Saccharomyces cerevisiae S288C: one gene and its partners. Changing the gene in region 1 together with any one later gene gives a genetic interaction. Each region holds a gene or a part of one and is shown in the gene's direction. Other genes may lie near its edges.

Region 1 (2,737 bases):
TAACGATTTGAGGAATGAATAGCAAAAGCATCGTCTTTGAAAAATGACCCAGTATACCAACGACTGCGAATACCATTCCAGCGAAATAACAATATGTATCTCCCACAAACACTGTGGCGGGCCAACGATTCCATTTCCATAGCGCCAAGGATACACCCAAAAATGGGATAATCAAAACAGCGGAAAACCTATGGGAGTCTCTTGTGGCTAATGGCCCCATCGAGAAGTACAGCAAATCGTTCAATAGCGCTAAGATGGCCAACACTATACATTGGCCAACCTCTAAACCATTAACACCTGCCAGGATGTTGATGGAGTTGGGGCAAAAAATTGCCATCGATGCCATATAAACATAATACCACAGCCCCAAATCAACACTAGTCTTTTTCAACCAGCGTTCCATGAATCCGGGAATAAGTACATGCGTAACTCCAAAATCCACATAATAAACCATTAGCAGTGGGATGGCTGCAATGGCAGGCAAGAAAAACTTATGTCTCCAACGTAAATCAAATAAATCATCAGCGATACCCAAGAGGACCGTACTTTCCAAGCATAGGATAGCGCTCAAATATTCAGATAGTTTATCATGAGGAAAAATATTAGAATTCATACCGTTATCTTCAACCACTGAGACATCGCGATGGCCCCCACCTGAAGTGGTTATGACCATATACTTGTAGAAAATGAAGGGAATGTAAATGAACATTACAAATAAATAAACTGCAGCAGGGATAGCACCTATTGTTTCTGGAAGCACCGGACGGCCAGGTTTACTCAAGTCCTTACCGAATAGGCCTATTTTGATGAAGGATTTGCCCACACGTGGAATCAACATATCTGTAGCTAAATAGCCTGCTATACCAAATCCCACGGCCGCAACAAGAGCAGATGGGCCCTGATTTTTGGAATAGTAGATTAAGCATGTGATAAGTGCCAGTGAAAAAAGTCGCAACATATAGTCTACTTTTTGTTACCGTTCTCCGCCTTGCTCTACTTGATAAAGTTTTTATTTACATATTTCACAGTTATATACACATGTTAACAATTTAATTTTCGCGCTGTTTAGTAAAGCATTTTTCGAGATTGAGGCAATATAAAAGGAAAGGGCCATATACAGGAGATGAAGGAAACCTGTACTATTATTGTATTAAACACATGGTAGTAGCTAGAAAAAATTCATGCATCAACCTCTGTGTTTGTATTCGTAACATATAAATCCACAAGAAATTTTTTACTCATCATCCGCTAAAAAAAGGAAAATACGGACGTTACTTACTAAATGTACGACGAACATGTACACAAATCTTGACTATTTTTGATAGATGCAGTCTCTTGAAATGACCAACGACTCAGTAGTGTTTTCCAAGCAATTTTACTTTCAACTGTTTAATATTTTTTAGAGGCTACTCGGCCGGCCATATCTAGACAATTAGTAATTCCGATGACAAAGAGTTTAAAACCACAATATCTGCCACACATATCGTGAAAGGCATTAGTTCCATTGTCTCCGTATTAGTGCAAAGCCCCTAAGCCAGCCTGCTTTAAAAAATGTGCAGGTACTTTTGTTATTGTTTTGATATATAAAGAACTACTATTTGCTAATATGTGATGTAGCGCAGAGAACTTGCATTTCCCTGCATGGCTGACCTTGACAAGAATACAATTAGCAACAAAAAGTAATAATTCAAAATGACCACATCTTTTTATGATTTAGAATGCAAGGACAAGAAAGGCGAATCTTTTAAGTTTGACCAACTGAAAGGCAAAGTAGTTCTCATAGTTAATGTTGCCTCCAAGTGCGGCTTCACGCCGCAGTATAAAGAATTGGAAGAACTATACAAAAAATATCAAGATAAGGGGTTTGTTATTTTGGGGTTCCCATGTAATCAGTTCGGGAAGCAGGAACCGGGCTCTGATGAACAAATTACGGAATTTTGCCAGTTGAATTATGGCGTTACATTCCCAATTATGAAGAAGATTGATGTTAACGGAAGTAATGCTGACTCTGTCTATAATTATTTGAAAAGCCAAAAAGCAGGTTTACTAGGTTTCAAGGGTATCAAATGGAATTTTGAAAAGTTCTTAGTTGATTCCAATGGTAAGGTTGTCCAAAGATTTTCCTCCTTAACAAAACCATCGTCCTTGGACCAAGAAATCCAAAGCCTGTTAAGTAAATGATATCTTTGTCTATAATCAAGCAATTATCCGGAACAATAAATAATACATTTATAGATTAGTATGATTATATATTTTTCTTCAGAAGCATGGTGTAGGATATATTAAAAAAAATCGAAATATAAAAAAAGAAGGTTTAATGAGTGGTTTCGTTTTCCGGAATTTTCTCTGCTACCAACTGTTCAGTTCCAACATTCGACGTATCCTCAATCTTCGCTTTTTTGCTCTCTACTCCATCAACGTTCTCCTTCTCATTAGCGGTCTGATCTGCAAATTCTTCCCTTATCCTTTTACCATTTTCATCTTCTTTCTTCATTCTATCTTTAGTGGCGTCATCCAATACAATCCCTGCGTTAAATTCCTTTTCCAAGCATTGCAGTAATGTATTTCCTCTTCTGGCTAGCTCTACAGGTGTCCTGCTTCTGAAGTAAAAGTCTAATTCGAATAGGGGACAATCTCTAATTTCATCACGCACTAATTCGTATACGTCATCTCTATCCAAGCCATACTTGAATAACATGAGAAGGATAAAACGATCTTCTTCTTCAGAGTACGTCCT
Region 2 (3,027 bases), 610 kb from region 1:
TGTTTGTTGTGATTGTAAAGACGGTGTGAGACCTTGATGAAAGATCGTTGCATTTAGTAGCGGCCACTTTCCTTTTTAACGAACCCTGCATTAGCAAATTCAAGCCTTCGTGTGCAGAGTTAATAAAGATTTCCTGCATCCCCTTGACCATGATGGATGAATTATTGTTGTTATTGTCAAAAATACGAATCTGCCTCTTGGGATCGTTGACTGCAGGATCATCGTCCTCACTATCAGAGAGCAGATCTTTCAAATTTTCATTGTACAACTCTAAAAAGGATATTTTTACGGAGTACTCTTTATTTAAGGAGCTCAATTCTTTAAACAAATCGACCAGAACCCGTGGTATGATACCTGCATGCTCTCCTAATAATAGATTATCGGTAGATTGCACATCACCGAGAATATTTATATCGCCAGACATAGTGTAGGTTTTACCTGTTCCCGTTTGACCGTATGCAAATATTGTACAATTGTACCCGTGCAACATTTCCTTAATGTAGTTTTTTGCAGTGGCATTAAACACTGTTTCCTGGTCAGATTCTGCGCCGAACACCTGATCAAATTGGTAAGTTTTCTTCGAGGACGAATACGATTGGTGAGAACCGTTGGACAGAATGATTTCTTTCCCTTGTGGGCCTAGTGTAGATATAACTACACTACTTTTTTCCTCTATTTCTCGCTTATTACGCGATCTGCACCTTACATATACATGTATATTGGAGTCTGAAGTGGCAGCACCATTGTTACAGGTGGGCGGCGTTAGAGTGTGCATCCCATTTGAAAGACTTGGAGATGGAGCATGTGCAATGGTCCTCCTCTTGTTCGCTTCGAACTGGGCGGTGCGGCGGTTGGGCAAGGAAGAACGAGCCATGATTGTTTAACTATCTCGCCATATTTAGTGAGGGAAGCGCGAACTGTCGTTGATTGTTTATGTGTTTATTTTATGTTTATCGTTCTTAGAGGGTGGCGCGCACTGTGCGCGCATATGTGGGCCATACGCAGACATATATAAAGAACTAAGAAAAGGTGAAATGGGACTCTACGATGGCGCTAATGGTAAGGTCTCTTTTCTATTTGCCTAATTCAGATACAATATATAATTGCCAACCTCAAAGAAGAAGAATTATGGGCATATTGACCTTCTCCGGTTTCCCTCCCGCGCTCTCGTATCCGTCTGCATTTGACCTCGAGCAAGCGCTCCACTATGTCTATATGTTTACCAGTAAAACTTCTTAACGTTTGTGATATTTTTTGAACTTCAACCACATTCAGTATGCGTGTGTATATAAAGATATTCCTGATAGCACTATGTTTATCTTTATACAATATACAAAAGGTCACCCAGGACGAGCAGCGCGGCTATTTTTCTATCATTCCGTGAATAGCGACCAACGGTCGGCGGCTATTTTTTTTTTTGCAATTTTTTCGGGATGGGTTCCCCGGCAAAAGCTAGCCCCGGAGATTTTTAATTACGTAAAGAAACAAGGGGCCGGATGTTGCTGCTATTGGTATATAAAGAGAGAAGGAGAGATATAGAAAATTGTGCTTCTAGATTCTCGCAGTAGGATGAGATAAATTTCAAAGAAGCAGGAAGCAAAGGATGTTTAGTAGAATTTGTAGCGCTCAATTAAAGAGGACGGCATGGACCCTTCCTAAGCAGGCTCACTTGCAATCACAGACGATTAAAACATTTGCCACAGCACCTATTCTGTGCAAACAATTCAAACAAAGTGATCAACCAAGACTAAGAATAAACTCTGATGCTCCTAACTTTGATGCTGACACAACGGTTGGTAAAATCAATTTTTACGACTACTTGGGCGACTCTTGGGGGGTCTTGTTTTCTCACCCAGCAGATTTCACCCCTGTCTGCACCACCGAAGTCAGCGCATTCGCCAAATTGAAGCCGGAATTCGACAAGAGAAATGTTAAATTGATCGGGCTTTCAGTGGAAGATGTTGAGTCCCACGAAAAATGGATTCAAGACATCAAGGAAATAGCAAAGGTTAAAAATGTTGGTTTCCCAATAATTGGTGACACTTTTAGAAACGTGGCATTCCTATATGATATGGTAGATGCCGAAGGATTCAAAAATATCAATGATGGGTCACTGAAGACCGTGAGGTCTGTTTTCGTCATCGATCCCAAGAAGAAGATTAGACTGATTTTTACCTACCCTTCCACCGTCGGAAGAAACACTTCTGAAGTGTTAAGGGTAATCGACGCCTTGCAATTGACTGACAAGGAGGGCGTAGTAACTCCAATTAATTGGCAGCCAGCTGACGATGTCATTATTCCTCCCTCTGTCTCCAATGATGAGGCGAAGGCTAAATTTGGTCAATTTAATGAAATTAAACCCTATTTAAGATTCACCAAGTCGAAATAAGCTTTGAAATAAACGACTTTACTATATACAGGTATATGAAGTATCTCTAACTAAAACTTTTATCTATCTTTCATTCTTATTATATCTCATCTCGTACGAAGGGCCGCTCATTGGATCATTTTTCTTTACATACCGTAAAGGAATGGCGTTAAAAATATATATATGAAAATGCATGTAATAAACTCTCTGCAGAAACCTTAATGTCAAAGGTCCCGTATACAGATTATATTGGCTCTGCGTATACGCATTCTCGTCATGGTGAAGGATAATCGAGATTCTGACCAAGACCAAGATTTTAGTTCTGCTCACATGAAAAGACAACCGGAGCAGCAACAGTTGCAACAGCACCAGTTCCCAAGTAAGAAACAACGAATATCTCACCATGATGACAGTCATCAAATCAACCATAGACCAGTTACCTCATGTACACATTGTAGACAGCACAAAATCAAATGCGATGCTAGTCAAAATTTCCCTCATCCTTGCTCCAGATGCGAAAAAATTGGTCTCCACTGTGAAATCAATCCTCAATTCAGGCCTAAGAAGGGCTCACAGTTGCAACTACTGAGACAAGATGTGGATGAAATCAAATCTAAACTCGATACTCTTCTGGCCAATGACAGCGTTTTCGTTCATCT
Region 3 (2,860 bases), on another chromosome or scaffold:
TGCCCTTTATCTTAGAGTAGCTAGAAAAGCAACGGAAACAGAAAAAGTCACACCGTGAATAATGATTGTTCGATATCAACTTTTGCAGTTCCTTGCTATCACGTTTGTGCAAGGTATATCATCTGTCATAATCCTTTGGCAAGACTACTGCTCTGCTACTCCTTGTGTGTGCTCACGGCAGGCTACAATGCAAAATTCATCCTAAACTCTGCTCTATAAGCATTAATAAGGTGAAATTTTCACAGCCTTTACATAAAAAACGACAGTAAGTGTATAAATGTGATTGTCAAAACTGCGACGATTCGAAATGATAGCTATTTGAAGTGTAGGTTATATCGACAGGAAGTTTCGGTTCTCGAAATATGTGATGCGTCTTTCCGGCGGCGTCGATGCTAATAGCAACCGTACTCATCGGTACATTCCAAATTTCGAAAAAAAGCTTGGAAACACATAAAAAAGAAAAAAAAAAATACATTTAGCATAAATGGATACACAATGGCGTTTCTTTTTAGTTGATAACTACAGTTTACTTCGGATAAAGATTAGTAAACCTTTGCGTTATGTCCCGTCCTATCGTAATTTCTGGCCCAAGTGGTACAGGTAAATCTACACTGTTGAAGAAATTGTTCGCTGAATACCCAGATTCTTTCGGGTTTAGTGTTTCATCCACTACTAGAACCCCAAGAGCTGGCGAAGTAAACGGTAAGGACTATAACTTTGTCTCCGTAGATGAATTCAAATCTATGATTAAGAACAATGAATTCATTGAATGGGCGCAATTCTCCGGTAACTACTATGGTAGTACTGTCGCTTCCGTCAAACAAGTCAGTAAATCTGGTAAGACTTGTATTTTAGATATTGATATGCAGGGTGTCAAATCTGTCAAGGCTATCCCAGAGTTAAATGCCAGGTTTTTGTTTATTGCTCCACCATCGGTCGAGGATTTGAAAAAAAGATTAGAAGGTAGAGGTACGGAGACCGAAGAATCCATCAACAAGAGGTTAAGCGCCGCTCAAGCTGAATTGGCATATGCTGAGACAGGTGCCCATGACAAAGTTATTGTCAATGATGATTTGGACAAGGCCTACAAGGAATTGAAGGATTTTATCTTTGCAGAAAAATGATGTAGCCCTATATAGACATTACTAAGTATGTACCTGGTAGGAGAGTGCTGTCGCAAAGCGACAAAACGTCCAATTATTCAATTAATATAGTGTAAAAGTTCTCAACGGGCTTATGCTAGTTTTTTTTGTTAGTAAGCGCTACGACGACTAGAACCATCTCTTGAATTTCCAAGTGCCAAAATCAATGACCACGGATACTGTGGCCAGGAATCTGTTGGTTGGTCATCCTCAAGATCTAGACAATATCATATTGGGCCAGTATCTGATTATCTTAACTATATGCGCCCCTCTAGTTTACAAGTTTTAGTCATTGGGGGTTGGAAGGGCTGATCCCCCCTTACAATTGGCGTCGTTTAGGAGCGGGCGAGGCTCTCCTTTCTCTTACACATCTGCTAAGGTGTTTGTTACCCGAGTAATCAAGGATCAACTATGGATGAGATTTAGATTAACGTATTTAGAGCAGACGATTGTAAGAATATATTTTGTAATTTCGATTGTTTTTTGCTACTTACATTGTTTATCTTGAAATATCCAAAGTGAACACTATTACTGTTTTTTGCTCAAGAATATATTAGCCTTACAAGAACGTAAAAAACCAATCATGGTAGCAGAAGTTCAAAAACAAGCCCCACCATTTAAGAAAACCGCCGTAGTCGACGGTATCTTCGAGGAAATTTCACTGGAAAAGTATAAAGGTAAGTACGTTGTTCTAGCTTTTGTCCCATTGGCTTTTTCATTTGTCTGTCCAACTGAGATTGTTGCGTTTTCCGATGCCGCCAAGAAATTCGAAGATCAGGGCGCCCAAGTTTTATTTGCCTCCACCGACTCTGAATATTCCTTACTGGCATGGACCAACCTTCCCAGAAAAGACGGTGGATTAGGTCCAGTTAAAGTTCCTTTGCTTGCTGATAAGAATCATTCCTTATCCAGAGACTATGGCGTTTTGATTGAAAAAGAAGGTATAGCTTTAAGAGGTTTGTTCATAATCGACCCGAAGGGAATCATTAGACATATCACTATCAATGATTTATCTGTTGGCAGAAACGTCAATGAAGCTTTGAGATTAGTCGAAGGTTTCCAGTGGACTGACAAAAATGGTACAGTTTTGCCATGCAACTGGACCCCAGGAGCCGCCACCATCAAACCTGACGTTAAAGATTCCAAGGAGTATTTCAAAAATGCCAATAATTAATCTTCGCACGATAACGCTAGGCCCTATTAAATAATTAAAAATACATCACCCTATATATGATAAGAAAGATGGTTTTGTATTATTATGAAATTGACTTGAAAGAATAGTGTAACAAAAGAAAAAGAAACTGTAATTGAAGAATGATATGCATTTCTATGTGTATATTAACTTAATCATCTTTATATCCAGAAGACGCAAATGACCATTCGACGTATTTTTCCCATGCAGGTTTGTTTTCGTATAATCTGCCTGCAAGATCCAAATAACTTCCTACTGTTAACGAATCCATTGAGTATGGTTTCTCGTCTGAGGTATATTCTATCTCATACCTGAAAATATCCTTAGATTCAACAAATGAATTATGTAATTCTTGATTGATTTTTTCCAAGTCGGCGTAGAATTGGACGAAACGCGTCGGAGTGAATAACTGCGGTACATATGCAGGGCCGAGTTCGTATTTGTCTGGCATCTCAATTGGCATAGTCTTGTCATTTTTCTTTTTCTTCTTGTTTTTCTTTTCGCCCATCTTCTCGCGGTTGATCCC

The links.
Region 2: mutations in GPX2 (region 1) and PRX1 impair growth when combined (synthetic growth defect), as found in Saccharomyces cerevisiae (one study listed by BioGRID).
Region 3: mutations in GPX2 (region 1) and TSA2 impair growth when combined (synthetic growth defect), as found in Saccharomyces cerevisiae (one study listed by BioGRID).

Annotation. Positions count from the first base shown.
Region 1 is NC_001134.8:705,836-708,572, forward strand, and holds GPX2 (glutathione peroxidase GPX2), read left to right. Parts: upstream 1-1,692; coding exon 1,693-2,181; downstream 2,182-2,737. Other genes in the region: ALG7 (UDP-N-acetylglucosamine--dolichyl-phosphate N-acetylglucosaminephosphotransferase), read right to left, coding at 1-958; chromatin-remodeling ATPase ISW1, read right to left, coding at 2,315-2,737. UniProt on the Saccharomyces cerevisiae protein: Glutathione peroxidase-like protein that protects cells from phospholipid hydroperoxides and nonphospholipid peroxides during oxidative stress. Plays an important role in the oxidative stress-induced response in the presence of Ca(2+).
Region 2 is NC_001134.8:99,733-102,759, reverse strand, and holds PRX1 (thioredoxin peroxidase PRX1), read left to right. Parts: upstream 1-1,603; coding exon 1,604-2,389; downstream 2,390-3,027. Other genes in the region: KIP1 (Kip1p), read right to left, coding at 1-874; SEF1 (Sef1p), read left to right, coding at 2,645-3,027. UniProt on the Saccharomyces cerevisiae protein: Thiol-specific peroxidase that catalyzes the reduction of hydrogen peroxide and organic hydroperoxides to water and alcohols, respectively.
Region 3 is NC_001136.10:1,364,528-1,367,387, reverse strand, and holds TSA2 (thioredoxin peroxidase TSA2), read left to right. Parts: upstream 1-1,725; coding exon 1,726-2,316; downstream 2,317-2,860. Other genes in the region: GUK1 (guanylate kinase), read left to right, coding at 561-1,124; PPN1 (endopolyphosphatase), read right to left, coding at 2,486-2,860. UniProt on the Saccharomyces cerevisiae protein: Thiol-specific peroxidase that catalyzes the reduction of hydrogen peroxide and organic hydroperoxides to water and alcohols, respectively.